3 linked regions of the Xenopus tropicalis genome follow. The protein of the gene in region 1 binds, or shares a complex with, the protein of each later gene. Links are inferred from orthologs where the notes say so. Each region holds a gene or a part of one and is shown in the gene's direction. Other genes may lie near its edges. The genes, in order: rptor, zfyve28 and rictor.

Region 1 (9,971 bases):
TAAAGTGTGGAATCTACCTTTTAGATAAAGAGTGGATGTGACTCTCTAGACACTCAAGTCCTTATCCAGTCTTTTGTGCTTGTTTCAGCTGTCACAGTACAGCATACAGTAAGCAGAGTGGCTAGATGAAAGAGAGATGTGTTGTAGCTCCTGTTCATCAGGGTAATTCAATTGAAAACAACACTTGCAAGTTGTTTTTTTAATTCCAGTGTAAAATTGACGCTAGAGAAGGAGACACATGCCAGCCTGCCAGCTGAATTCATTCATTTCTACTAGCGGTCCACATCCACCCATGACCTACTGTCAGTATATAGGTTTACAACTAGTTAAAGTCAATAGGTGAATTGTGATTGGCAGTTGATGGCTCCACCCACTTTTTCTAACCTGGAACTGCAGTTACCCAGTGACTAAGGGGTATATTTATCATGCTGTGTAAGAAGTGGAGTTAAACATTACCGGTGATGTTGCTCATAGCAGATGCTTTGCTTTGGTTTTCTAACTGTTGAAATCTAATTGCTGATTGGTTGCCCTGGGCAACATCACCGGTAACGCTTCACTCCATTTTTTAAACAGCATGATAAATATACCCTATAAGTTTAGGGACCCTGGGATTAATAGTTAATGAACAGCAGCAGTTTAAATTTAAACCAATTAAAGTCAATAGGTGAATTGTGATTGGTGGTTGGTGGGTGTGCCCACTTTTTCTAACCTTGAGTTGAAGTCACCCAGTGACAATGACATTTAATGGATGAAATCTGATTTGCTGTTGGTGGCCCCGCACACTTTTTCACTTTTGAACTGCAGTCCCCCAGTAATCATATGTATTGTAATAGATATCTGTGCATGAGGTGTGTGGATAAACCCTGAGGGGCCCCTGTCGATTCCCTGCCTTTTGTGCTTTTATGGGTTAGGGTCATTTCATCATTATTTGTGGTCTGATAATAAAGAATGCTTTATATTTGTATTTTGTTGTGAGCTGTATATAGTACCACCGTATATTGGTTACTCTCTGCATTGGGTCTTTTGTTTTTGGTAATTGTATAATTCATAGGGAAGGTTGGAACACCAAACGGGTATTTCAAATATGTCTTGAGAGTTGCTGTCAAACTAGTATTGCTATATCGACAACAGTATGTTGGCAGTTTTGACCAGCCTAACTAAGGTCAGCAATACGTCGGCTATTGGTAGCCAGACGCCCATCCATCTCATTATTATCAATTTGTCATAGAAGTACAAACAAGAATGAATGGGAGATGCCTTGTCTATGTCACTATTTTTCAAATATTCTGCTCTGGCTCAAGATGCAGCACACTGCAAAATGTAAAGTGTGTGAATTTCAAATATACTTTCGGGTACACCAGTAACCACAGGCCTAAAGGGAAATGCGTTGGGTAACATCTATATATATATATATATATATATATATATATATGTATATATATATATATATATATATATATATAAGTACAAAATGAAGTCAAAAGTCCACAAAATAAAGTTCCTATATAAAAAATGTCTGTACTGTGTGCTGTCTCCTCAAATAGCTGGTCAGACTATGAAGTTCTAAAAGTAGGAGAGAAGGGCACCCGCCTTTAGTGTCAAATCCACGTATATTTTATTAGATAAAAATATTGCACTTACAGTTGTTTATTGTACATTCAGCTTGTCGCTAGTTAAAAGCCCAGTGCCTTTCTTATTGATTCCGACTTCTGCAGGGAAGTAAATGTCACTTTGTGTCAGGGAAAGAATGTAGATAGTGTAGCTGGTCGGAAGCAGATGTGGAGAGACTTTACCCGTTTCATTGCAAACAGCTACTTCTTCAGAAATGGCCACTGTATACCATGAGATATATAAAGCCTGCCTCTCGCCTGCCCAGGTTTCAGCATGACTTTTTTATAATGTTTATCAATAAAGATAAGTGATTTTTGATCGCAATGGATTTTGCAGTCATGAATGTTCGGTGCTCCTTATTCTTACCAGTTTATTCCGGGGAAATATTCCATCCTTCAGTCTGACTGGCAGATCTCTGCAGTGTGTTCTCTGGGGAATGTCACTTATTCTTTTAGCACCTTATTAATTGATGTCGGTATTAGCCAATTGCTAAAATGTGCATCACCATTGCAATACCTGTGGCAGTTCAGCATAACTGTCCAACACATTTACTAATTTAATTACAGTGTGTTACGTTGCTCCACTTAGCTACACGTCTTCTGTTAACAGGGAGAGGGAGCAGCTGCACCAGAGCTTGTTTAACATTAAAATGAACACCCCTCTGGCCAACAATTTTATTTTAGGTCAATCCACTGCTTGCCCTCAGTAAATGTTAACCCTAAAGGGAAAGGAAACACTCTGATCCCTCTCACCAAATGGACCTGAAAAGCAGAGTTGTACAGAGTTAGGCCATATTAAGGTGGCCATACATGTTAAGATCTGTTTGTTTGGTGAGAGGCACTGTTTTGCCTACCCACGGGGCTAAGAGGTAAGCTAAGTATTTTGCAACGCTGTAAGTCACTGATGCTGCTGACAATAGGCCTGAGTGTGGCTCCTTCCTTGTGTATCTTGGGGAGACCACATAAGCATGTGGTGGTTTCTCTGGGGTACAGGTGATAGTATAAAGCTCAATTGATGGCTTCCACCTTCTTAGGTTGTTGTCAGTAGTTTATCACCTTTTTCTTCTAACTGCTAATTGGGTCTTTCCTTAAAGGTTCACATGTATTGCTATCGCCGAGTAGCGTCGTCATTTTGCAGTGATAGTCAGTTGTGTTGAGCACAACCGTGCATTGCCCTTTATCTTCTGGTAGCATAGTCATTACTAAGAGATGTGAGAGCTCTCCTCTCTTGTATAGTAAGGTTTGAGGGAGGTGTTCTGACACTTGACAAGGCAGCTGACACTTTAAATTAGAGTTGTTCTGCTTTCTCCATTGGTATTGATGGCAGATTCTGTGGCTGTAATGAGCTCAACCACTGGGATGTGTTGTGAAGACACTGCATAGTTTCAGAACTCTCACAAGTAACACCTGTCTCTATGAGTTGCATGAAACCTTGGTAATCCTATCACAGTAACCCCACAGCATTCCCAACGTCTGTGAGTTTCAAGTGTCACCTCTCTGAAGAGTTACAATGTGCCATTGTGATTAGTGGAAGAGTATATATACTGAGAACTTCCTGTACCAGTCAGTTGAACTGAAGAAGCTGCTCGGATGAGTAGTGAAAGATCTTCAATGATTACTTAGCAAGTCCAGTTGCTCTAGATTTACTTATACTAGATATACCATGCCCTGGTTAAATAAAAACCTTCAGTACAATAAGCAGATCTCCTCCCAATATTCCCACTAAGTTGGGTGATATTGTGCTAATTCGATCATTTGTTTACCGGTCTGATGGGAAAACCAAACCTGCCCAGTCGCCACCTGGCCAATTTTCAGCCACGTATCAATCGGGGGGCCCATCGAGGGCCCCTACACAGGCTGAAATGTGGTTGTTGCTCACTGAGTGGCTAGTTTGCTCTACATCAGTTACGAATCAAATTGCAATATAACCACTTGGAGTTGGTAATAAAGTTGATCACAAGAACCATTCTATTTTTTCTATCTAACAGTTTCTGGGACTGGGAGAAAGGAGAGAAGCTGGATTACTTTCACAATGGTAACCCTCGTTATACTCGTATAACAGCAGTCGAATATCTGAATGGCCAAGATTGCTCTTTGCTGCTTACTGCTACAGGTTAGACATCACTTTAAACTTGGAACTCTCTCGAGAGCAGTGTTTTTCTTTCCAACTTTTTTCTTCTTCACTGTCCAGTTGTAAATATGCTGGCCCAATAACTTCACCTCTGTGCCTGCAGATGATGGAGCCATCCGCGTGTGGAAGAACTTTGCTGACTTAGAGAAAAATCCAGAGATGGTGACAGCTTGGCAGGGACTGTCCGATATGCTGCCGACCACACGAGGTCAGTTACATAGACTTCCATAGGAAGTAGGATGCGCTCACAGAAGTCATATACACGTTTACTTGTGCATCCCCTACTTTTACCTTGCTAAGTTCTTACTTTCCTCAGAGCTTCAAACCCCACATTTAGCAGAATCTTTCATAGGTCTTAAAATCATACACTTTGTATTCTTTTGGTGTCTTGATCTTACAATAATCTTTTGTTTAATGAAATCTTAGCAGACATGTACATTTGTGTAGCTTGATAATCTGCACCGTGCATGAGCAACCTGTGGTCCTTTGGGGGTCTTTATTGTAAAAAAGTATCTCTAACAATTGAAGTCATTTATTGAGGTGTCTGGGAGCTGTAGCCCTACAACAGCTAAAGGGTTTCTAATTATGGGGATTTCCATTGTCCATCCATTCTGAAATCTTTTGTTAGTAGAACATATTTGATGGCCTTTTCCCCCCCTCTGTTACATGAAAATTCTATCCAAATTGATATTGTGTAACTGTATGTTTAACACTTCAGCAAAATGAACTAACTTTCTGGTGTAAATCTTTCTAAAAATGGAAATAAAAGCAGCCTGTGATTAGGTGTCATCATTTTATAAGTGGTTTCCTTATCTGCTAAAACATTGGCTGCTGCAATGTGTGTCATACCCTGTCCCCCCAGACACAACATAGCCATCTGGGTGTAACTTGCATTCCTAACTTTTGCCTTTCTTTGCTTCTGCCTGCTGCCTCCCTCCTTCCTGGTTTCTATCCCTGTCCCCTTCCCTATACCCTTTCAAACCCACAGGCCTGGCTCGAAGAGTTTCCATTTATCTTGACAGGAGTAAACAGGGGGGTAAGTTCTTCCTTCATTAGAAATCATCTGTATTTGACTATGGCATGTTTGTGCATACACAAGTGAATGTACACAGGAAAACATTTCTGTATTGTGCTTGTGTGATATGTGCAAAATAAAAATCTGACCAAACCTTGAAGAGTTGGTTCTGCCTATATATTATAGACTAATATTTGAGTCTGAATGCAACTGATTATTCTTTGTCTTGCTAACGAACCAGCTCCAGAAGCCATTTATGCATGCAAGGTTCAAGAGCAGCGGTAACATAATGTAAGACTAATACGTTGGCATCTTTCTATCTTAGGGGCTGGCATGGTGGTGGATTGGGAGCAAGAAACAGGTCTACTCATCACATCTGGAGACGTGCGAATTATCCGGCTATGGGACACAGACAGAGAGACAAAAGTGCAGGTAAAACGTTAATAAGATTTCATGGCTACCATAGATTACAGATCAACTGTATCAATCCCACAACCATACAAACACATTCAAGTGAGATCACCACCCAAAAAATGTAATTAAAGGGAAATGCAAGTCTTGAGTAATTTTCCAATATACATTCATTACTTTTTATTAAATAGTTAAATAATTATTTGTAGTTGCAATTAAAAGCAACATTCAGGTATCCCTTTCTGTTCTCTGGCTCTGACATTGTAGCAAAAGTGGCCTTTTAATAAGCTGGCTTCTGCTACATTGTTCTAGAAGTTGGAAACAATAGTACTGAGAAATTGTAAATGGCCAGACAGTTCTCTAAAGCAATTACTTTAAAGCAAATGCAGATTTTAAATAAATATATATCAGAAAATTGTTTAGAATTACAGTGTCTTTCATAAAGTAAAAACAGTCTTATTAAACAATCTTAAAGTTCTATTAAAGAAGCACAAAGGCCTGCCATATGCAATCAGGGAACAGTTATTCTAACCTCTTTTCAAATGTCTTGGGATTGCAATGTGAAGATTTCCAGCATTTTGTCTCTATGGCCTCTATATACTCAGTATATTGATGTCGTTATTCTTTAAGGATATACCCACTGGAGCAGACAGTTGTGTGACCAGCCTGTCATGTGACTCTCATCGTTCCCTTATTGTGGCTGGACTCGGAGATGGTTCAGTGCGAGTGTTTGATCGCAGGATGGCACTGAATGAATGGTAAGATTTTGCTTCTTTCATTTATGGTAACAGGCTAGCTCCTTGTCTGCCCATGTGTGGCTGCCTTCTGTATTGCATCAAACATAACAGTCATTTGGATAATGAAGAGGGAAAAGTCCTGGCTAGAAAGACATGTAGTAAAAGGTAACACAGAGTACTAGTTTGTAGCTGCAAACTGATCTGCAAAAGAAGAAAACACATATCACCCTAAGAAATAATTCCTAATCCTATGTTGTCATTCTATTTAAGCAAAATAAACTTTACTTATACTGTATACATTATTTAAATCTTGTTTCCTTCATTTATTTGTAAGTCCACAATTATGGCCTACAGGCAGGCTTTTATGTTTTGTTTTATGGAGTCTGTTACCAAAACAGGCTTTGCGTTATCCCAATTTATGCTCCACAAATGAGGACTCGATGCACACATCCGTGCACAGGCTACTCAGTTACGTATACTGAGAAGGGCAGGGGGCATGTGAGAAGGTTTGTGACATCTATGCAGAAATAAAATTGAAAGTGTCCTTAAAGATTGATTCAGGCTATTAATGAGCATTATGTGACACTTGAGTTGTATTTCATGTTTTTTCTTACAGCCGTGTAATGACGTACCGAGAGCACTCAGCCTGGGTAGTAAAGACTTCTCTCCAAAAGCAGTCCGATGGGAATATTGTGAGCGTCAGGTACTTAGTTCTGCTAACAATAACTTGCTCTAATTGTGTTCTGTACTGTTTCGTTTGCCTTATGCAACATAGTATTGCTGAGCTAATCCTAAAGGAATCCTCAGACTTTGTATTTCCTAAAAATATGTTGTGCATGTCACCCAGTTGCACAGAGATGTCACATCCAGTCTTTCATTTTCACAGTGTAAATGGAGATATCCGTTACTTCGACCCTCGTATGCCAGAATGTTTAAACTCACTGCAGATTGTGAAGGGTCTTACTGCGTTGGATATCCACCCACAGGCTAACCTGTTTGCATGGTAATGTGTAGTGGCACGTACTTATTCTATAAATGCAGCGAGTGCTGGTTTCAGTTAGGTAAGGCTTGTCCAACTGAAGGCCCTCGGACCAGTTATGTTTCCCAAGCACATGTATCAGCCACTACCTGTCTATATACTTCATTTTAATCCTAATATAAACCAACCAATGAGCATGTTGGCATACTACCTGTAAAAAGACAGCAAATCAGGGAATACAGGCAAATTCCAAATCTGCTTTGGGTTTTTTTGTCTTTGTCTAGATGCTTGAACAAAACATGTTTGCTTGCAGTCGTGGAGATTTTGATTGTACTGGGTAATCTAAGCTAATTCGAACCAAGGGTGCAGTTTTACAGCATTTGATGAGCAGCCTTAGCTATAAAATCTGTCTTTGATCTGTCTTTATTAGATCATAATATTGCGTTCCAGGAGATCACAGACATTGTAAAATATAGTCCCATATAACAAGGTTATATCTGCTGTATCAGGGTATATTCTCTTTTTCTAAACTAAACTTGATTTAATCATAGAATAATTTTGTGCTACGATTTCTGTATGTTTTGAGGAGTATAGAAATACTGATTTATAATATAAAACTATATATGTTACTGCTTCACTGGAAATTAACCTGTTCACTTTCTCCTTGGAAATCTCCACTTTGTTTTAGTGGTTCAATGAACCAGTTCATCGCTATTTACAATGGAAATGGAGAGCTGATCAGCAACATAAAGTACTACGATGGATTTATGGGACAAAGAATAGGAGCCATTAGCTGCCTGGCCTTTCATCCTTACTGGGTTTGTGTCTCTATAATAAGGATTTTTATGGGTTCTGGTGCTTGAAAGGCGAGGAAAAAGGTTAAGACACCTGTGCAACAAAAGGCACAAGTGAACTTAATTGTTCTTATTCTGTGTAAGAGGTACTTGTACCTACAGTATACAGTGGGATGCTACTGGAAATGCCATATTAGACACCATTAATTTCTCATGTTCTCTCTCTCTCTGCAGCCCCACCTGGCCGTTGGCAGTAATGACTATTATATGTCTATTTACTCAGTGGAGAAGCGAGCGAGATAGCTGTTTGAAGGAGGTTTCCTCTAGGTCTTCGTCTCTTGCTGTGTATATAAGCGAACCATGGCCTCGAGTGATTTCATTGCTGCTTCTCAAAAAATGAAGAAAACTACTTTGAATGGACTAAGCTAATGAACCAATGAAATGACAATACAAGGCTTTTTTACTGCCTGTCTGCTGCCTCATTTCAATGCAAAATTACAATTTATCTCTGAGGTGGTGAGGGCATTAAAACATTTGCTATGCTCTTGAATTTGGAATGAAACACATTAGGCTTTAGCTGTGATTCCATAGTTTAAATCCCTTCCTTTCATGCTGCATGGACAGCTGATCCGCTGTCTCCTGTTTTGAAGACATCTCATGTTTTGACAAGACTCTTTAGAATGGTTATCTCCTACTTGGAAAAGACTGGGCCCTGCTTCAACCTATGAGGCCAAATAATTCCGTCCTCAACAGGTGCAACCAATTGCGTTTCTTTATGCAGACCTCCTGTAATAGTAAACCAATCAAACAAAAGATAGGAGTTAAATCTCTGGTGTTTAATGTTTGGCTATTTTGCAGATCATTTTCATGTTGGCCATCCTCTACGTTGACTAGGACGTTACTTGCAGCACTTATTTGCTCTTCACCCCATGTAGCTACAGAAATAGGTGAACATTTTTTTAACGGGCAAATTATTTATTTTATCCTAAAGAGAAGTATTTCAGTAACATTTACTATAAAGGGAGAAATCGTGCAATTCTTATTTTTTAAATATGCTATTGGAATTTCCATTTCTCCTGGTAAAAATTCCACAGTCACATAAAGCCCAGAGATCTGCAGAGTGTGCTTTGGTGTTTCCAAAAGTGGAATAAATTCTTTCTCATTCAATATTGTTAGCAATAAGACACATTTTATTCAAATTCTGGTTACTTTATAGAACGTCAGTACGTTGTGGGGCATTTCTATATCTATGATTGACAGTAAAATGTTGAATAATTTTGTCATCCATTGCTAGAAACCTTATAAATGAACGATCTATGCGCCAATGCAGGATAGATGTAAGAAAGTCTCATAACCTGTGTGGTGGAAATGGCATGTAATAGAGCCGGCGCTTAACCCTTGTCAGCACAGTCATTCTTTTTACTGCTCAGTTCATTCACAGAATTCTTGTTTATAAGATATATATATATAAATATATATATATATATGTATGTGTGTGTGCATGTCAGTGCTATGTACTGACACAAATACAATGGAAAGCATATACCCCATTTAGGCAACAGGGACCAGGTGCCATGTATAACTAAACTCTCTGTTGCAGGTTGGGGTATTGATGTTTACACTATTTTAACTCAGAATATGTGGTTTTAAAAGAAGGGAAAGGAGGGTTTTCCGAATTTCTGCTTTTAGCATCTTCCCATAGAGAGTTTAATGGCAGCGTTTTTTCCTGCTATATAAGATGTTGAACAGAAGGATGTACAATTCTCTAGTACTTAGGGAGGGGGTGCCCATAGGAAAACCCTTAAATGGCAGTCTTCTATCACTGAACTAAACAAATTGCTGACCAATTCTGTTAACACCACAAGCAGAGGAGAGGTTGTGGCATCCTCTGTGTGCATACAGGAATCTGGAGTGCTTTATTAAATATGAATAAACCCGAAGCTGTCTCTTAGTCATTATTGGAGTAAATACAACAAGGAGAAATGTGTGTGTGATTCCTTCTCATTTGTTTCAATTTGTAGCATTTCTTTCCTATTTTAGTACCGTAATTACAGTGGCCTGAGATGTTCTTGCTGCAACTGTAGCTGGGCACTTCCATGTGTGCATAAACTAATTGCTTTCCTCACATAAAGTGGCTAAACAAACTGTATTGAGATATAAATGTTAAGCAGGTTCTGTATTTACAGAGGAATTTAGGAATCATGTGATATATGTACAGGAACAAAATACACAAAAGACTGTATTCAGAATTTAATTTCTGTATAAAAAGAATAAGAATTAATGATATTTTTGTT
Region 2 (9,971 bases), on another chromosome or scaffold:
AGAAGTGTAAGAGAAAGGTTTGCGAGCAGGTTGGTGGTGGTGTTTGGGCAGATATCATTGGAGCAGCGTTGCTTTTGGGGAGCCAGTCGGAGGGGGGGGAACCCTTTGAGCTCAGGTCCTTAAACAGGTCAAGGCGTCCCAAGTCCAACACTGGTAGCAAGTCTGCCCATGTTGTATAATACCGTTACAGGGGTGGCCATATGGAATTAGAGATCATTTATAATTCATAGATGAATATTAACACTTCCACAAAACCTGAGAGCTTGTCCAGGCATTTTGGAGAATAACATCAACAGTCTGTCTGGCTTCCCAAATGTCTAGTCTTTTAACCAACTACAGATCTCTTATACTGATTCATTATCCTAGTTTGAACACCGATGGAGACTGACCAAAGGGTTCAGAGACTTGTCTCATACTCAGGGCTCTCCTTGGCACTTGTTCCCACTTACTCTTCATGGAGGCTATTCCAGGGGATAACCACAAGGTGCTGCCATGCACAGATCTTACTGATGCATCTAATGATTCTGCACTGGGAGACACAATGAGAACATGTCACTGGGTGTGCCAGATGCATCATTAACGTTTGCTTCATTTTCAAATTGAAAACAAATATACGGCCAGCTCTTAATAATTAAATTCCTACATTTTATAATTAAGGTATAATTGGTGGTGTGCAAGTGTGGCCTCTACTGACCTGCACATCATGTATCCAGAAGGGTCTTGTTTGTGTTCCCCGAGATAATAAATTCCTTAATCCTCCTTTCCCTCCTACTTGTCTCCGTTCCTCAGTGTTTGGCTGCCGGCTCCATCATAATGAATCGTGAAATAGAGAGTATGGCTATGAGACCTCTAGCCAAAGACTTAACCAGAAGCCTTGAAGAAGTGAGGAATCTAATCCGTGACCAGGCCCTGCGGGATCTCAACATTTACACGGAGAAAATGAAAGAATCCCTCCGACATTTCGATGTTCTGTTTGCGGAGTTTGAATTAAGGTGAACTTGCTCAAATGAAACTTTTTCTTTGTGTTCAGTTTTGCTACTGAAATCCCTTGGATGGTGTTTCTTTTTGTTAGTGGAATTAGTTTCGAAGTTGCCGAACAAACAAAAACAAAAAAAATCACAGAATTTAATTTTGTAATTTATCTCTTCATTTCTCATTTCATTGTAACTTAAAAACAAAACTGTAACTCTTTGAAGGAGAAGGAAAGGCATTTTGGCATTTTACTGCCTATAGATTTGCCACATTAGTGCCACCTAGAACGCTATATTTATTCTGCAGAAAGCTTTATCATACCTGAGAAATGAACCCTAGAATCTCCCTCTGTTTGTTTAAGATTGCAGCCGCCATTTTAGCTTGGTCTCTGTGTAATCTGAGCACAGAGAGTTGGGAAAGGGAGCAAATTCTGATGGGAGGGGGAGCAGTAGAAGGGAGGGGGAGAGCAGACTCATGCCTGTACCCTAAAGGATTTTTCTGAGAGCAGGAAGTCTGACACAGAAGGACATGTGTACACAAAAGGAGACAAGAAATCCTGTGTTTCTTTTGATAGAGTGCAGCATTTCTGTGAGTGCTTATGGCTGTATTTACATAGACCTTTCTGCTAAAGTTTACTTAGTTGTTACCTTTCCTTCTCCTTTAAGTGTTCCGGTAACATGGTTCCATAACCTGTATAACAGAACTCTGCCTCCGATGTTGTACATGTTCCTAATTAGTAAAATGCTTAACAACCTTTTTTTCCCACTACAGCTACGTCTCTGCCATGGTACCTGTAAAGTCCCCAAAAGAATATTACGTACAGCAGGAAGTTATTGTTCTTTTCTGTGAAACTGTAGAAAGGTAGGTCACCCAGTGTGCCACAATGATACTATTCTGTCAAAAGGTTATTTCTGCAGTGTCTCAATGTACCCTCTCTGCAAGGCATTGTGTATGGGGGACAAACCACCACTTTTCCCTAAGAAACATTCTGCTTGGTCCAATCTCTTAGTTTTAATTTCCTGCAACTTGTTGGGGTGCTACTTTATCTCCTGAGCAATTGTATTTATGGTGTGCCAGACTCTTCAGGTTATACACAAGTAGCACCCCAACAAGCTGCAGGCCATTAAAAGTAAGAAATTGGACCAATCAGAACGTATCTAACATGCACTTTATCATTAAACTACATTCTACGAAGACTGCTGCCAGTTGAATGATTACCAGCTGAACATTAGCAATGCATTAATGTTTTACTAAGTCATGCTAATAACTAGCAAATGCAATATAAACAGGGAGAATTTCACCGGCACATTTTAGAGATGTAGAGCAAATTGTGTGGGCTAAGTCTGCCCAAAGTCCAAGGAGAATGGGATATAAAGGCCTGGAATTCCTGTAGCAGCTGTAGATATTCTTTCATGTAGAAGAGGGTTAATATTATGAGGTGGTCAGTAAAGTGGCACGCTACTAGGACAAAGGTGAGAAGACGGTGTTAATGAACTGAATGTAGAAGGCTTATAGCCTTACAAGACATGGGAAGAGGTAATATGCTGGGAGGCTGTGTAGCTGTAAGGCTAGGGATTTGGTCCCCCAAAAACATGGAGAAACATGTGGCACTAGTAGGCAAAGAGATAACCAATGTTTTGATCCTGTTTGGATCATTGATTATTATCCTATATTGGTGATGTAGAATATCCATTACTCCCCTTTGAAGTGTGCTCCTGTTGTCCAACATAATTTTTAAAAATACCGGCAGATAGACAGCCATAGAAGATAGACAGTTAGGTAGGCAGAGAAGTGGTCAGCATTTGGGTAGGGTGCCAGATAGGTACTGTAGTCAGACAGACAGGGGGCCTGACTCTATCAAATAATGCCTCTGGTAGCCATTTTTAGGTAGTCAGGCAGACAGACAGGTGGCCTGGCTTTATCAAATAATGACTCTGGTAGCCATGGTTAGGTAGCCAGGCAGACAAGAGGCCTGGCTTTATCAAATAATGCCCCTGGTAGCCATGGTTAGGTAGGTTGGCAGACAGGGTGCTTGGCTCTATCAAATAATGCCCCTGGTAGCCATGGTTAGGTAGGCAGGCAGACAAGACGACTGGCTCTATCAAATAACGTCTCTGGTAGCCTTGGTTGGGTAGGCAGGCAGACAGGGGGTCTGGCTCTATCAAATAACGTCTCTGGTAGCCATGGTTGGGTAGGCAGGCAGACAGGGGGTCTGGCTCTATCAAATAACGTCTCTGGTAGCCATGGTTGGGTAGGCAGGCAGACAGGGGGTCTGGCTCTATCAAATAACGTCTCTGGTAGCCATGGTTGGGTAGGCAGGCAGACAGGGGGCCTGGCTCTATCAAATAATGCCCCTGGTAGCCATGGTTAGGTAGGCAGGCAGACAGGGGCCCTGGCTCTATCAAATAACGCCCCTGGTAGCCATGGTTAGGTAGGCAGGCAGACAGGGGCCCTGGCTCTATCAAATAATGCCCCTGGTAGCCATGGTTGGGTAGGCAGACAGACAGGGGGCCTGACTCTATCAAAAAATGCCCCTGGTAGCCATGGTTAGGTAGGCAGGCAGACAATGAGTTAGGTAGCCAGGCAGGTGGTGGGATTAGATGTGCAGACAATTGTACCTTATGCAGAGGGCAGGCAGAATGTGGCACAGAGACACTGGGGGGGGGGGGGGGGGGGGGGGCAGCATTAACAGTGAGGAAAGTTTCCATTGTAACCTCATATTACATTAACCTAAACTGTCCAGCATTACAAGGGATTATCATTAGCTGCTGAGACCTCTTCTTGGGCCTACAGATTACACAGTCTAGTTCAGAAAGGTCAATTCATTTAATACATGTAATTGAATTATTTCTGGCAGAGAAGAGTATTTCGCTCCTCGCAGTCCCTGTATTATTTATTGTAGAGCACAGATCTAATCTTGTTATAGACGAGTATAAAGAGCTTAGCCGTGCCAGCTTATTGTTCCCATCCTCCATAGAATACCCTTCCCCTGCCCGTGCCAAGTGATTCTTAGCTCTCAAGGCGGGTTTCATTTTTGACGGCATATGTATGTATAGGATAGCGGCAATTTGCCCAGCTCAAAGCCAATTAGGTGAAAATGGCAGAACTGGTTGAAAATCACCAGTGGTTTTTATTTACTTACTTATTTATTTATTTATATAGTTATTTATTTTGCTTCTCGCCAGTTCCCATTGGGTTGCAGTTTGGGGAACATCTCCCCTCAGCCTAAAGGTGTTGAAGCCTGGGTCCATCTGATTAGTATGTGTGGCAAATGCTGGGATATCGTGCTGTTTGGCCATTTACACCCATGAGTAAATAGCATTGTTCTGTTGGTTTCGCCAACATCTGAACAAACTGACCCTCTGGAAGTAAGGGGGGCCTGAGGCTCCTCTCCATTCCTTATTTACCAATGCACCAAGTCTTGCCAAGAAGGGTCATCAACATATGAAATTTTGAGACAGACAACTGTGATCATGGCGGGATTGCAAACTTGTCTTGCCGCTTACGTGCACAGATGATTGGACGATATGGTCAGGAGTGCCCAGTGGCTATAACTCATGGCTCTGCTGAAACGTGGACAGATCTTTGACTTGCAGAATTTGATTGTGTCGTGTAGAATTATCAGTGTCTATTATATGATATATTATAACCTTATATTTTCTTTTGTTGTATGTGCTTGGAACAGAGCCTTAAAGCTTGGATACCTCACACAAGATATGATCGATGATTATGAACCAGCATTAATGTTTACAATCCCAAGACTTGCCATTGTGTGGTAAGTATGGCCATTACTGCAGTACAGTGAGGGATGAATAGGGTTGCACTGGGGTAACCAGCACTGCAATTACCTGGAAAGGTGTATGTCTGCACTGTATTTGCTCCAGAAACCCTACTATAGTTTATATAAATACCCGGCTGTGTAGCCCCGGGGGCAGCCATTCCTGCACTGGTACAGCTGGGGTGTTTGCTACAGAAACCCTACTATAGTTTATATAAATACCCTGCTGTGTAGCCCCGGGGGCAGCCATTCCTGCACTGGTACAGCTGGGGTGTTTGCTACAGAAACCCTACTATAGTTTATATAAATACCCTGCTGTGTAGCCCCGGGGGCAGCCATTCCTGCACTGGTACAGCTGGGGTGTTTGCTACAGAAACCCTACTATAGTTTATATAAATACCCTGCTGTGTAGCCCCGGGGGCAGCCATTCCTGCACTGGTACAGCTGGGGTGTTTGCTACAGAAACCCTACTATAGTTTATATAAATACCCCGCTGTGTAGCCCCGGGGGCAGCCATTCCTGCACTGGTACAGCTGGGGTGTTTGCTACAGAAACCCTACTATAGTTTATATAAATACCCCGCTGTGTAGCCCCGGGGGCAGCCATTCCTGCACTGGTTCAGCTGGGGTGTTTGCTACAGAAACCCTACTATAGTTTATATAAATACCCCGCTGTGTAGCCCCGGGGGCAGCCGTTCCTGCACCGGTACAGCTGGGGTGTTTGCTACAGAAACCCTACTATAGTTTATATAAATACCCCGCTGTGTAGCCCCGGGGGCAGCCGTTCCTGCACCGGTACAGCTGGGGTGTTTGCTACAGAAACCCTACTATAGTTTATATAAATACCCCGCTGTGTAGCCCCGGGGGCAGCCGTTCCTGCACTGGTACAGCTGGGGTGTTTGCTACAGAAACCCTACTATAGTTTATATAAATACCCCGCTGTGTAGCCCCGGGGGCAGCCATTCCTGCACTGGTACAGCTGGGGTGTTTGCTACAGAAACCCTACTATAGTTTATATAAATACCCCGCTGTGTAGCCCCGGGGGCAGCCATTCCTGCACTGGTACAGCTGGGGTGTTTGCTACAGAAACCCTACTATAGTTTATATAAATACCCCGCTGTGTAGCCCCGGGGGCAGCCATTCCTGCACTGGTACAGCTGGGGTGTTTGCTACAGAAACCCTACTATAGTTTATATAAATACCCCGCTGTGTAGCCCCGGGGGCAGCCATTCCTGCACTGGTACAGCTGGGGTGTTTGCTACAGAAACCCTACTATAGTTTATATAAATACCCCGCTGTGTAGCCCCGGGGGCAGCCATTCCTGCACTGGTACAGCTGGGGTGTTTGCTACAGAAACCCTACTATAGTTTATGTAAATACCCTGCTGTGTAGCCCCGGGGGCAGCCATTTAAACTGAGATCGGAATAAATGCCACAGGTTACATAGCAGATAACATTAGCTCTGTAAAACACCATTGTACCCTACAGAGCTTATCTGGTATCTTCTATGTAACCTGTGCCTTTTTTTCCTTTGCCCCCAGGGCTACACAAGAGGGTATTTCTATAAACTATAGTAGGGTTTCTGAAGCAAACACACAACTTTTACAAGTACAGGGCAACATTACGTTATATTTTAATAACTTTGATACACTTTTTTGGTGTTACTGTTCCTTTAAGACAATTTTCATGGTCTTTAAAAAGGAAAATTTTGGGCTTGTGACTCTGCATTAGTGCATGAAAGTATTTTTTGGTGTTCTTTTGCCCTTTAGCAAGTTTGATCTGTGAGCAGCTGTGTAATTGAATGGGGAGCAGCCTCCGCTGGGGCATTGTCTGCATGCTGACAGCCTACCCAGTGTGCCCTTGCCCTAAAGTCACTAAGCCGATTCTGTGATCTGTAATCAGTCCAATGCCCTTTGTTATCCATACAGTGGTCTTGTCGTTTACGCTGAAGGACCGCTCAACCTCGAACGCAAACCTGAAGACATGTCTGAACTGTTTCGGCCTTTCCACACCCTGCTAAGGAAAATAAGGTAAATGTTTGGTTGATAGGAGATGGAAGATACAAACGGAATGCATGACCTGAAGTCCTTTGGTAGTGGGAGAACGTATCTCTCTGCCGCGCTGTATAACTGTGCCAGCGCTAATTACACAAAGGATAACTAATAGTAAATACAAATACATTTTTCCTCAGCCTGCCCACAATTCCCTGTACTCGTGATATCAATAAGGAAAGGAATATCGCAGTGCAATGCATTGTGGGTTTTGTAGGTGAATGCTGTCTGTACTCTGTGGAGAAGTGTTTTAGGGACTAAACTGTTTTAGTCCCTCCTCCCCTGCAAGGATATTTTTGCAGCTGAATTTTATCATATAAAAATGGTATTTATTCATACTTTTAAAAGGAACAGATTACAGATATTTAAACAGTAATTAACCCTAATAGGCTTGTTTTGCTTCTAATAAGGATTAATTACACCTTAGTTGGGATCAAGTACAGGTACTGTTTTATTATTACAGAGAAAAGGGAACCATTTAACCATTAATTAAACCCAATAGGGCTGTTCTGCCCCCAATAAGGGGTAATTATATCTTAGTTGGGATCAAGTACAGGTACTGTTTTATTATTACAGAGAAAAGGGAATCATTTAACCATTAAATAAACCCAATAGGACTGTTCTACCCCCAATAAGGGGTAATTATATCTTAGTTGGGATCAAGTACAGGTAATGATTTATTATTACAGAGAAAAGGGAATCATTTAACCAGTAAATAAACCCAATAGGGCTGTTCTGCCCCAATAAGGGGTAATTATATCTTAGTTGGGATCAAGTACAGGTACTGTTTTATTATTACAGAGAAAAGGGAATCATTTAACCATTAAATAAACCCAATAGGGCTGTTCTGCCCCAATAAGGGGTAATTATATCTTAGTTGGGATCAAGTACAGGTACTGTTTTATTATTACAGAGAAAAGGGAATCATTTAACCATTAAATAAACCCAATAGGGCTGTTCTGCCCCAATAAGGGGTAATTATATCTTAGTTGGGATCAAGTACAGGTACTGTTTTATTATTACAGAGAAAAGGGAATCATTTAACCATGAAATAAACCCAATAGGGCTGTTCTGCCCACAATAAGGGGTAATTATATCTTAGTTGGGATCAAGTACAGGTACTGTTTTATTATTACAGAGAAAAGGGAATCATTTAACCATGAAATAAACCCAATAGGGCTGTTCTGCCCACAATAAGGGGTAATTATATCTTAGTTGGGATCAAGTACAGGTACTGTTTTATTATTACAGAGAAAAGGGAATCATTTAACCATGAAATAAACCCAATAGGGCTGTTCTGCCCCCAATAAGGGGTAATTATATCTTAGTTGGGATCAAGTACAGGTACTGTTTTATTATTACAGAGAAAAGGGAATCATTTAACCATTAAATAAACCCAATAGGGCTGTTCTGCCCCCAATAAGGGGTAATTATATCTTAGTTGGGATCAAGTACAGGTACTGTTTTATTATTACAGAGAAAAGGGAATCATTTAACCATTAAATAAACCCAATAGGGCTGTTCTGCCCCCAATAAGGGGTAATTATATCTTAGTTGGGATCAAGTACAGGTACTGTTTTATTATTACAGAGAAAAGGGAATCATTTAACCATTAAATAAACCCAATAGGGCTGTTCTGCCCCCAATAAGGGGTAATTATATCTTAGTTGGGATCAAGTACAGGTACTGTTTTATTATTACAGAGAAAAAGGAAATCATTTTTAAAAATGTGAATTATTTGATTACAATGGAGTTTATGGGAGCTGGCCTTTCCGTAATTCAGAACATTCTGGATAAGGGGTCCGATACCTGTATTAGGGTTTTTTTGTGTTGAGAATGTTTAGCCCCATTGAAAATAATAAGTATCATATGAATTTGATGCATTCAATTTTTTAAAATTCAATCAAGTCTTTTATATTCAAATGTTTTAATAAATCAATAAATTTTGGTCAATTTTCGAGTTTATTGGAACTGAAAAAAAAACCTCTAATATTCGCAAATTCTAAAATTGATAAATAAGCCAAAGTATCAAGGTAGATATGCAGCTGTATTTGCACATATGCTTCCCCCCCCTTGTCTCGCACATCAGCAATTAATTATTTCCATGATACAGGTATGGGATCCCTTATCCGGAAACCCCTTATCCAGAAAGTTCTGAATTACTGAGAGGCCATCTCCCATTGACTCCATTACAAGGAAATAATTTAGATTTTTGAAAATGATTTCCTTTTTCTCTGTAATAATAAAACAGTACACAGTACAGATTCCCTTTTCTCTGTAATAATAAAACAGTACCTGTACTTGATCCCAACTAAGATATAATTACCCCTTATTGGGGGCAGAACAATCCTATTGGGTTTATTTAATGGTTAAATGATTCCCTTTTCTCTGTAATAATAAAACAATACCTGTACTTGATCCCAACTAAGATATAATTACCCCTTATTGGGGGCAGAACAGCCCTATTGGGTTTATTTCATGGTTAAATGATTCCCTTTTCTCTGTAATAATAAAACAGTACCTGTACTTGATCCCAACTAAGATATAATTACCCCTTATTGGGGGCAGAACAGCCCTATTGGGTTTATTTAATGGTTAAATGATTCCCTTTTCTCTGTAATAATAAAACAGTACCTGTACTTAATCCCAACTAAGATATAATTAATCCTTACTGGAGGCAAACAAGCATATTGGGTTAATTCAATATTTAAAAGATTTTTAGCAGACTTAAGTTATAGAGATCTAAATTACGGAAAGACCCCTTATCCGGAAAACCCCAGGTCCCGAGCATTCTGTATAACAGGTCCCATACCTGTAATAGGAGAAGGAATCTGCAGGAATAGGTTGAGTAAAGCCAAGGGGAGGTTATTGGATGGGCCAGGCAGGTATGAGCCTTACACAGTATATTAACCTGCCTATATCCCGGCCTATCTATAGTCTCAGCCTCATTCGCTGGAAGTGCTGCTCCGGCCCCGCCGTGTCGCTCTATTCCTGCTCACAGATCGTTTTCCAGCTCACGTTAGAGACTGTTTTCCAGCATTCAATTACAGCCAAGGAGAAAAGTGTTTGTGAGAATAATCTTCCTGTCATAAAAGAAGATACAGTTCAGGCCGCCACCAAATCTGCAGCAATCTGCGCTTTTGTAGGGGTTTTTTTTTTTTACTTTTTGTGC
Region 3 (10,071 bases), on another chromosome or scaffold:
TGAGGCAATCAAAATGCCATGCGTTGTCTGCGGCTGCTTTCCATTCAAAGGAATAGGAAACTCTGCCTATGGCAGATGCTGGCACTCAGGCAGTAGTAGGGGGTAGTTCATCTTAAAATTACCTTTTAGTCTGACCTATAAGCATTATTCTAAGCCAATTCACAGTCCTCATTATGCCTTTTGCCAGTTCTTACAAACCTTATGCCAGGGGCACACAAAGCGAATCATACAATTTTCTCTGCTTGCATTTTTTACCCAGGCAGAGACAAGTGGATCCTCCTATAACTCTATTGACAGTCAGTGTCGGCTCTGTGGAACTACATGGTGGATACTGGAGTGAAAATGGATACTTTTATGTTATCATGCTGATATCTGGTCTGTGTAGCTCCATAGAGACCAACACCATACCTGTTGGAATTAAAGATGAATAGGAGAGGACCTGAAATTAAATATAATCAATAAAAACTAAGAATACCAATTAATGAAGCCTCACAGTCCATGTGTTTTTTGTTTGCTTGTAGAACTCGGTGACATCCAGGCAGCACTTAGGCAGAATCTGAAGGTTAATAATAGAAAGACAAATTCATGCAGAATGAAGACTACTGTAATGGGAAAAGTCAATTAGATTAGGTCTATATATTCTACACCCTACTAAACCTTTATTTACAGATATAAAGATGAACACCCGTTTAAAAGGGAAGTTCACCTTCCAGTTAACTTTTAGTATGTTATAGAGTTATAGAATGGTCTATTCTTAACAAGTTTTCATTTGGTCTTCATTTTTTTACTTGTTATAGTTTCTGAGTTGTTTGCCTTCCTCTTCTGATCATTTCAAGCTTTCAAATGGGGGTCTTTCTATTTAAGCCCTCCTCTATTTTTATTCATGTCTCTCTTTCAAACCACTGCCTGGCTGCTAGGTTAAATTGTACCCTAACAACTAGCTTGCTGCTGAAATTCCAAACTGGAGAGCTACTGAACAAAACGCTAAATAACCGTAAATAATAAAAAAATGACAACCAATTGCAAAAGTTAATTTAAAGGTATGCACACAATAGGGATTCAGGGCTGTATTGTGGAAGTCACTGATCCTCAATCTACTCCTCAGGTGTCGATCAGCGCATGTGTGCACACACACATGCAACCATCACAGAGGCTCCATGTTTCCCCCCCTTACATGTGTTGCAGGATTCAACTGGCATGTACCCAGCAACTCCTTTGGGACTTTTTTTTTTCTAACCATATAGTCACTTGAGGGTTGCCTACTATATGACCAGTGGTTTGTGAGCAACATGTTGCTCCCCAACCCCTTGGATGTTGCTCCCAGTGGCCTCAAAGCAGGTGCTTATTTTTTTAATTTCTGGCTTGGAAGAATGTTTAGGTTGTATAAAAAACAGTTGTAAAGCCAAACAGAGCCTCATTAAGGCTGCCAGTCCACATAGGAGCTACCAAATAGCCAATCTTAGCCCTTATTTGGCACCCTCATGAACATTTTTCATGCTTGTGTTGCTCTCCAACTCTTTCTACATTTGAGTGTTGCTCATGGGTTAAAAAGGTTGGGATCCCTGCCCTAGACACTAGCATTTGAGTGCCTATATGGTAAATACAGCCCTGTTTCTAGTATGTTGTATATTGAGCATTTTAAGCAGCGTTTAACTGTTTTATTTTTTCAGTTCTTTTACTATCCCTTTCCAGAATGCAATTTGAAATAGCATCTGATTGTTCCAGGGCTCAACCAAAAAGTTCCTTCTCAGTGAGACTAAATATATATATATATATATATAAATAGTAAAAGAGACCAGCAACACCGGGATTTCTTGTGAAAAGTGAAAAACATATATTTAAAGTAACATGAACATCGGGACCTTTCTCCACATGCCTTGAGAAAGGTCCCGATGTTCATGTTACTTAAAATATATGTTTTTCACTTTTCACAAGAAATCCCGGTGTTGCTGGTCTTTTTGGACTATTGGAACCCTTTACCGAGCAATTGAGGTATGTTATGTAGCGGTGTGCCATCCTTTGTGTACGTATACAGTGGCTTGCAAAAGTATTTGGCCCCCTTGAACTTTTCCACATTTTGTCACATTACAGCCACAAACATGAATCAATTTTATTGGAATTCCACGTGAAAGACCAATACAAAGTGTTGTACACGTGAGAAGTGGAACGAAAATCATACATGATTCGAAACATTTTTTACAAATAAATAACTGCAAAGTGGGGTGTGCGTAATTATTCAGCCCCCTGAGTCAATACTTTGTAGAACCACCTTTTGCTGCAATTCCAGCTGCCAGGCTTTTAGGGTATGTCTCTACCAGCTTTGCACATCTACAGACTGAAATCCTTGCCCATTCTTCTTTGCAAAACAGCTCCAGCTCAGTCAGATTAGATGGACAGTGTTTGCGAACAGCAGTTTTCAGATCTTGCCACAGATTCTCCATTGGATTTAGATCTGGACTTTGACTGGGCCATTCTAACACACGGATATGTTTTGGTTTAAACCATTCCATTGTTGCCCTGGCTTTATGTTTAGGGTTGTTGTCCTGCTGGAAGGTGAACCTCCGCCCCAGTCTCAAGTCTTTTGTAGATTCCAAGAGGTTTTCTTCCAAGATTGCCCTGTATTTGGCTCCATCCATCTTCCCATCAACTCTGACCAGCTTCCCTGTCCCTGCTGAAGAGAAGCACCCCCAGAGCATGATGCTGCCACCACCATATTTGACAGTGGGGATGGTGTGTTCAGAGTGATGTGCAGTGTTAGTTTTCCGCCACACATAGCGTTTTGCATTTTGGCCAAAAAGTTCCATTTTGGTCTCATCTGACCAGAGCACCTTCTTCCACATGTTTGCTGTGTCCCCCACATGGCTTGTGGCAAACTGCAAACGGGACTTCTTATGGTTTTCTGTTAACAATGGCTTTCTTCTTGCCACTCTTCCATAAAGGCCAACTTTGTGCAGTGCACGACTAATAGTTGTCCTATGGACAGATTCCCCCACCTGAGCTGTAGATCTCTGCAGCTCGTCCAGAGTCACCATGGGCCTCTTGGCTGCATTTCTGATCAGCGCTCTCCTTGTTCGGCCTGTGAGTTTAGCTGGACGACCTTGTCTTGGTAGGTTTACAGTTGTGCCATACTCCTTCCATTTCTGAATGATCGCTTGAACAGTGCTCCGTGGGATGTTCGAGGCTTTGGAAATCTTTTTGTAGCCTAAGCCTGCTTTAAATTTCTCAATAACTTTATCCCTGACCTGTCTGGTGTGTTCTTTGGACTTCATGGTGTTGTTGCTCCCAATATTCTCTTAGACAACCTCTGAGGCCGTCACAGAGCAGCTGTATTTGTACTGACATTAGATTACACACAGGTGCACTCTATTTAGTCATTAGCACTCATCAGGCAATGTCTATGGGCAACTGACTGCACTCAGACCAAAGGGGGCTGAATAATTACGCACACCCCACTTTGCAGTTATTTATTTGTAAAAAATGTTTGGAATCATGTATGATTTTCGTTCCACTTCTCACGTGTACACCACTTTGTATTGGTCTTTCACGTGGAATTCCAATAAAATTGATTCATGTTTGTGGCTGTAATGTGACAAAATGTGGAAAAGTTCAAGGGGGCCGAATACTTTTGCAAGCCACTGTATATATATATATATATATATATATATATATCAGTCCTGATGGTGTCTGCACTCCAAGGCTTTTAGTATTCTGTGGGGTGCACAGCCAAAATCTGAGTATTTAGCATGAAATAATCCATGGCCGGCACACCCTTAAAATTCAAAAAATTTTTTTTATTGAAAACTCATTGTTTTTAAACAATGAGTTTTCAATAAATTTTATATATATATATATATATATATATATATATATATATATATATATATATATCGGCACTCTCTCATTCGTTTTCTATTCAAAAACATTTCAGGGTCTGCTGGATGTCCCACAACCCTCCCCTCAGGCTTACATCAGTGGAAGGTAGTTAGGGTTGCCACCTTTTGTGGGAAAAATGACCAGCCTTCCTATATATTTATCTATTTTCCCTATTAATAACATTGGGATCAACTTACCAAGATTTTAATTCCCTGGACTGTAACATGTGGCAGAGGTTTCCATTGGTGCCCATTGCCATGTGAAGGAAGAGGAAAAATGAAAATCACATCATACTTGCCAAGATTCCTGGACTGTAATATGGCAGTGGGCACCAATGGAAACCTGTACCCCCTGCCATGTGAAGGAACAGGAAAATAATAAATCCATGAAAAACACTTCAGACTATACAAACATGAGGTCTATCTTTCTACAACATACTACAAAACAATTGTAGGTGAACTACCCCTTTAAGAAGAGCTCAGAAATTCCAGGGCTGGATCATTATCTAACCGATGACCAGGGATTAGCCAACAACCATGAAGTAAAGAGGTGAATAGTAAGGTGAACGGACTGCCAGAAACAAAGATGGCCGCCGCTCTCCTATTTGTGCCCATGAAGCAAACAGAATAGCAGCGTCCATTTTTCAGCTCCATTAACTTAATATCACCACGTATTTCTGTGGCAATTCCGAGTAATAGAACGTCATCCGTGTCCCAGAGCTCATCGCACGCTCGCCCACACACAAAGTAACTCGCCACCCCACGCCCCTCATTGGAATGGCTTTCCCTAGTCTGCAGCCACTCACCCCGCCTGCTGTGCTGTAATCTCGCGAGAAAGGCCGAGGTTTCCGGTGTTGTGAATGTCTCCCAGCCGCGCATCATGGCGGTCAGCATCCGCGCCCGCTCCCTCCGGCACCTCAGGCTAAGAGGTAATACAACTGCCGGCATTGTTGTTTATGGGGGCCGTGTGGGCTCTGGCCTTGGGCTAGGTGGGGGACGCAGGGAAGGAATGGTTGGTAGCGCTGCCCAGGGCTCTGGGAAAGGGGGTAGCCGGATACCCTGGTGATGGAGAGAGTGGAACTATACTGATAACAGCAGGGCACCCATAAATGGGGGGACGGGGGTGCGGCTTTGGGGAGCCACGTCATTATTGGGACCTTGAACACTAGTACTCAGTACTGTATACTCTGACTAATGGGCCCCAAGCGATTGCATTTGTATGGGGCCCAATGAGACAAAGTGGCTGTGTGTTGGCTGGCCTGCAGAAAACCCAGGGCTAGTTGTAGGGCAGGGCAGAGTGGGCATTGCCCTGGGCATCATTAGGGGGGACAGGTAGAGAACAGTGTCTCTTATAACATTTAAAGGAGAACTAAAGCTTAAAAATGATGGCTATGAATTGTATTTTGTGTATTAAACTTACTGTACTGCAGCCAGGTAATGGTATTGATCCATGCTGTAAAGCAGTAGAAAAGGATATGAGGAGTTAGTGGTGGTATCTGAGGTTCACTGTCAAAGGGCTGGGGGGGTACATGAACTCCAGGTGTAAGGGGGGGTACATGAACTCCAGGTGTAAGGGGGGGTACATGAACTCCAGGTGTAAGGGGGGGTACATGAACTCCAGGTGTAAGGGGGGGTACATGAACTCCAGGTGTAAGGGGCTGCATTTCTAGCCTAATTCTTTGTTTGATAGGCTTTATATAAACACCGTCTGTTGTTTGTAAAACCCCAGCACTGTTGTGGGAATGCTGGGAGTTGTAGTTTATAAACAGCTGAGGGTTGCATGTTGTCATTATTATGTATGATGGGGGCCACAACCTGCCTGCATTGCTCGGGGCCCATCTATACATGTCTTAGCATCTGTGACAGTAGAGAGAAAATACTGGTGTCCAACCAGCAGCCCTCCTACCAAACTGTAGCCAGATCCCCCTGACAAACAGGAATGCACCTAACATATAGGGCCATATGCCCTGCCATTTACATATTTAACATTTTAATAAAAAAAAAAGCATAATGCAATAGATGAGTCAGTGTAGTAGGAATGTCCTGTTTGCTGCCTTCCAGCAGTTGTTGACTGACCACTCCCTGCAAGACACTGTCAGTGGGGAATATATAGCTCACTGTAGTGGTGGGGTGTCCTCCCTGTGGCTGCTGGGGTGGGAGCTGGGACCCAGTCAGGTGTACACATGCTATTGACAACTCTTGTGAAATTGTCTTCAGATGTCTTCAGATGTCTATGAGCTAAAACTGTGGTCGCTGCACTTACGCCACGGGCTTATACTGATGCAGAACTTTAGGCTTGATAGTCCCACCTCAGCTTTAGCATTAGAGAGAACCTATTCACGTTGCTTTCAAAACAACTGCTCTCCCAACTGTATGCTTGCGCTGCACTCCCAGGCTCAGGCAGGGAGCTGTGACATATTGATGTTTGTGTATGTGTGCCGGCAGTCTAATCTGGCCTAGCGTAGAGCAGCGAGAGGTCACTGTGTTCAGCAGTGGCTCTAGGCATAAGCAGGCTATGGGAACAGGACGTTTATTTGGTTATTTAGGCTGTTACATAAATCTTACTGTGCAGTTCCTCGTGTCCGCTGTAATATTTCCTTCCATGTCTTATGCAGAGTAAATGTGATTCCTTAGTTGTGTTATCCAGAGAAAAAGCTTTGTTTGTTGTCTTTTTATTTGTTTTTTTTTAGCCAAAAACCTGCAGCTGCCTGTAACCATTTAATTTTGATCATACAGTATTGAGGGTTTCGCTATGAGCCAGCAGCAAGTTGCAGTATTGTAGCTCTCTCGCTGCCAGAGAGGTCAGCATTACCTTGCGGAATAAACCTCCAATCTCCTTACATACTTATTGGGAGATTTACCATAGGGCAATGTATAAAGCATTTTTCTTTCTCTAACTCGGCAGACCCTTTCAGTTCTTCTAAATATGTTTTAATGGGTGATGTTTGTGTCTGTCTGTGTGCGATTACTGCGCTGTGTTTTTTATTCTTGAAAAGAGGTTGTTTTGTGTTTCTGGGCTAAAGAATTAGATTCATGCATTACCCCACATCCTTTCCAGTAGGGTGATAATAGCTTTCAAAACATGTTTGTGGTTGAAAGAGGTTAAAATAAATAATTTGGGTCCATAATGAGGACTTACTTAGTCACTTGTTTCCCACCAAGTAAAAAAAAAAATGATTGATTTGCCTGTAATAAGGATTGACTATATCTGAGCTGGGGTTAAGTACAAGGTACTGTTTTATTTTCACATAAGAAAAGGAAATATTTTTTAAAATGTTGAATTATTTGATTAGAATGGAGTCTGTGGGAGATGGCTTTCCCATAATTTGGAGCTTTCTGGATAACTGATCCCATACCTCCACAGTGCTTCATATATAGTGGATAAAAGTCAAGTAAAAATAAATGTGTAGGTGTGGCTACTGGTATAAGGCACCTGGTGGTATTTCCACTGGTAGGAAAGTGGCCCATGATGCTTTATCATTGAGTTTAACAGGAAAAACACCTGTTTCTGTACCCTTGTACCACAGTGAAGTTGGGAGCAGATCTGCTTTTTATACACACGTGGAGAAACAGCCTGGAGAGCCATTAGTCAGGGCCAGACAGTGTTGTACATTATGTTTTGGTCTTCTCTACCAACCCAAGGCAACCACAGCCCTTTAGCAGGTCCTACAAATATATCCCCAGTAGCCCCCCATCATCCTTTCTGCTGATTCCCGTGGGCCGCCAGTTGGACAGCACTGATGTATATAGTATTGCTGACAGATTGTTTGGGCAGAGCCTATTAACTGATCAGAACAGGCGGAAGTGAAAAGAAAATGTTGCTCCCCTTCGCTTCCTCATTAGCCGATGCATCGTGCCCTGGCAGTTATTGTGCATTGGCAGATCCAATATTTCAGCATGCAGGTACAAAATATTGTACATACCTTTCTTATGATAGTATGTGAATGGCCCAGGGATGCACCGAATTCGGGATTTTACCGAACCCTTAAAATTTACGTGACCGAAACACACAAGTAAAAAATGTAACCCTTCCATGCCCTTATTTACATATGCAAATATGGATTCAGTTTCGTAATTGGCCAAATCTTTTACAAAGGATACGGGGTTCGGCCGAAACCAAAAATAGTGGATTTGGTGCATCCCTGGTATGCCCAGTTTTACAGGTGATGTGTCGTTTGGGTGTTTTGCCTTCAGCCCATGGTTTCAAAACTGTGCGGCTGTGGCCCCTGGGGGGGCTGGATCCTGTGGCCCCACATATAGGTTAGTTTGGGGAGAATGCTGCTTTGTTCTTCTTGACACTCCTGAAAGCCCAGCTTGAAGGTCAGTTAGTGAGATGCAAACTCATTTGCTGTCCTATATATTCCTGGAACTATGGCTGAATGAGTGATACAGCAGTGTTTTCTGTAGTTACTGACCAAAGGTTGGACCTCCACGGTGGGTTTGAACTGAAAAAAATCCCACATGTCTGTCTTAAGCTGCTCATTGGTTACATAAAGGCATGACTTTTGTAGCAAAAGAAAAAAGTATTTGTTTTTGAGACCAAACATGACTCATTTTTTTATCTTTGTGCTGTGACAGTGCTCTGCGTGATCTCATGGGGTTCTGACTGCTGATTCATTTACCCTCTGTTAGCCCTCTCGCTTTGTAACGTTATCACTTATTAGACAACTTACTGCAGTTGTAAGCCTGCTGTATGTGATTATGGTTGGCTGTGTGCTTTTTTATTAAAACGCCTCCTTAAAAATGAAAGTGATTGTGCACAAAATGTTCCCATGAGCACTTTCACAATTCACATTCATGTTTTTTTGTCACTTCTGTTTTTGAGAAAAGCGCTGTAAAAGTTTCCTTTTTTTTTGGCCGGTTCCTGCAGTGACCATGGACTTCTCTGTTTCTACGCTGTTTGGTCACTTGCTGTCATTTGTGTGTTTATGTATACACCCCTCTGTTGTACAGCACTGTGGAATATGTTGGTGCTTTATAAATACATGTTACAGGTACTGGATCCATTATCTGGCAAAACCCATTATCATAAAAGCTTTGAATTATGGGATAGCTGTGTCCCACAAAAATTATTTTCCTTTTCTCTGTAATAATAAAACAGTACATTGTACTTGATCCCAACTAAGATATAATTACCCCTTATTGGGGGCAGAACAGCCCTATTGTGTTTATTTCATGTTTAAATGATTCCCTTTTCTCTGTAATAATAAAACAATACCTGTACTTGATCCCAACTAAGATATAATTACCCCTTATTGGGGGCAGAACAGCCCTATTGTGTTTATTTCATGTTTAAATGATTCCCTTTTCTCTGTAATAATAAAACAATACCTGTACTTGATCCCAAATTAGGTTATAATTAATCCTTATTGGGAGCAAAACTATTTGGTTTATTTCATGTTGAAATGATTATTAAGTAGACTTAAGGTATGGAGATCTAAATTATGGAAAGATCCTTTATCTGGAAAACCCCAGGCCCGAGCATTCTGAATAGCAGGTCCCATACCTGAGTGCTTTCAGCTTCAGCACAAACCTGGTAGCTCACCTTTAGGGGGTTGGTACAGTTTTGTCACTTCTCTGAATATGCCTTCTCTTTGTGAAAACTTTGGATCACAGCAAGTAAAACACAATACAGCTCTGGGATCTGGGAGTTTCTGGATAAAGGATCTAACATAATTTGGATCTCCATAGCTTAAGTCTGCTAAAAAATCATTTAAACATTAATTAACCCCAATAGGATTGTTTTTCCCCCAATAAGGTGTAATTATATCTTAGTTGGGATCAAGTACAGGTACTGTTTTATTATTACAGAGAAAAGGGAATCATTTAAACATGAAATAAACCCAATAGGGCTGTTCTGCCCCAATAAGGGGTAATTATATCTTAGTTGGGATCACGTACAGGTACTGTTTTATTATTACAGAGAAAAGGGAATCATTTAACCATTAAATAAACCCAATAGGGCTGTTCTGCCCCAATAAGGGGTAATTATATCTTAGTTGGGATCAAGTACAGGTACTAATTTATTATTACAGAGAAAAGGGAATCATTTAACCATTAAATAAACCCAATAGGGCTGTTCTGCCCCCAATAAGGGGTAATTATATCTTAGTTGAGATCAAGTACAAGGTACTGTTTTATTATTAAAGAGAAGAGGGAATTCATTTTTTTTTAAAAAATTCATTGGTTAAAATGGATT

The links.
Region 2: the proteins of rptor (region 1) and zfyve28 are in contact, whole or in part, in a cryo-EM structure (PDB 9F43), measured with the Homo sapiens proteins. The link is inferred for Xenopus tropicalis from reciprocal best matches to the Homo sapiens genes RPTOR and ZFYVE28. Residues at the interface, in NP_065812.1 of Homo sapiens: Arg54, Arg305, Arg306, Thr317, Asp321, Phe337, Arg338, Leu341, Ala344, Arg348, Leu437, Gln438, Leu440, Leu441, Ser442, Gln443, Arg446, Pro474, Tyr475, Lys478, Leu479, Gln481, Ser482, Ser483, Ala484; in NP_066023.2 of Homo sapiens: Arg399, Val400, Phe401, Phe402, Met403, Asp404, Asp405, Val406, Glu407.
Region 3: rptor (region 1) and rictor share a complex: the UniProt entries of both Homo sapiens proteins name them as parts of the mechanistic target of rapamycin complex. The link is inferred for Xenopus tropicalis from reciprocal best matches to the Homo sapiens genes RPTOR and RICTOR.

What each region holds. Positions count from the first base shown.
Region 1 is NC_030686.2:26,904,219-26,914,189, reverse strand, and holds the end of rptor (regulatory-associated protein of mTOR), read left to right. Parts: intron 1-3,598; coding exon 3,599-3,723; intron 3,724-3,844; coding exon 3,845-3,949; intron 3,950-4,729; coding exon 4,730-4,777; intron 4,778-5,081; coding exon 5,082-5,188; intron 5,189-5,797; coding exon 5,798-5,925; intron 5,926-6,520; coding exon 6,521-6,607; intron 6,608-6,790; coding exon 6,791-6,907; intron 6,908-7,571; coding exon 7,572-7,701; intron 7,702-7,911; coding exon 7,912-7,980; 3' UTR 7,981-9,617; downstream 9,618-9,971. UniProt on the Homo sapiens protein: Component of the mechanistic target of rapamycin complex 1 (mTORC1), an evolutionarily conserved central nutrient sensor that stimulates anabolic reactions and macromolecule biosynthesis to promote cellular biomass generation and growth.
Region 2 is NC_030677.2:21,557,520-21,567,490, reverse strand, and holds part of zfyve28 (lateral signaling target protein 2 homolog), read left to right. Parts: intron 1-789; coding exon 790-992; intron 993-1,743; coding exon 1,744-1,833; intron 1,834-4,657; coding exon 4,658-4,747; intron 4,748-6,676; coding exon 6,677-6,778; intron 6,779-9,971. UniProt on the Homo sapiens protein: Negative regulator of epidermal growth factor receptor (EGFR) signaling. Acts by promoting EGFR degradation in endosomes when not monoubiquitinated.
Region 3 is NC_030677.2:196,992,816-197,002,886, forward strand, and holds the start of rictor (rapamycin-insensitive companion of mTOR), read left to right. Parts: upstream 1-4,518; 5' UTR 4,519-4,752; coding exon 4,753-4,801; intron 4,802-10,071. UniProt on the Homo sapiens protein: Component of the mechanistic target of rapamycin complex 2 (mTORC2), which transduces signals from growth factors to pathways involved in proliferation, cytoskeletal organization, lipogenesis and anabolic output.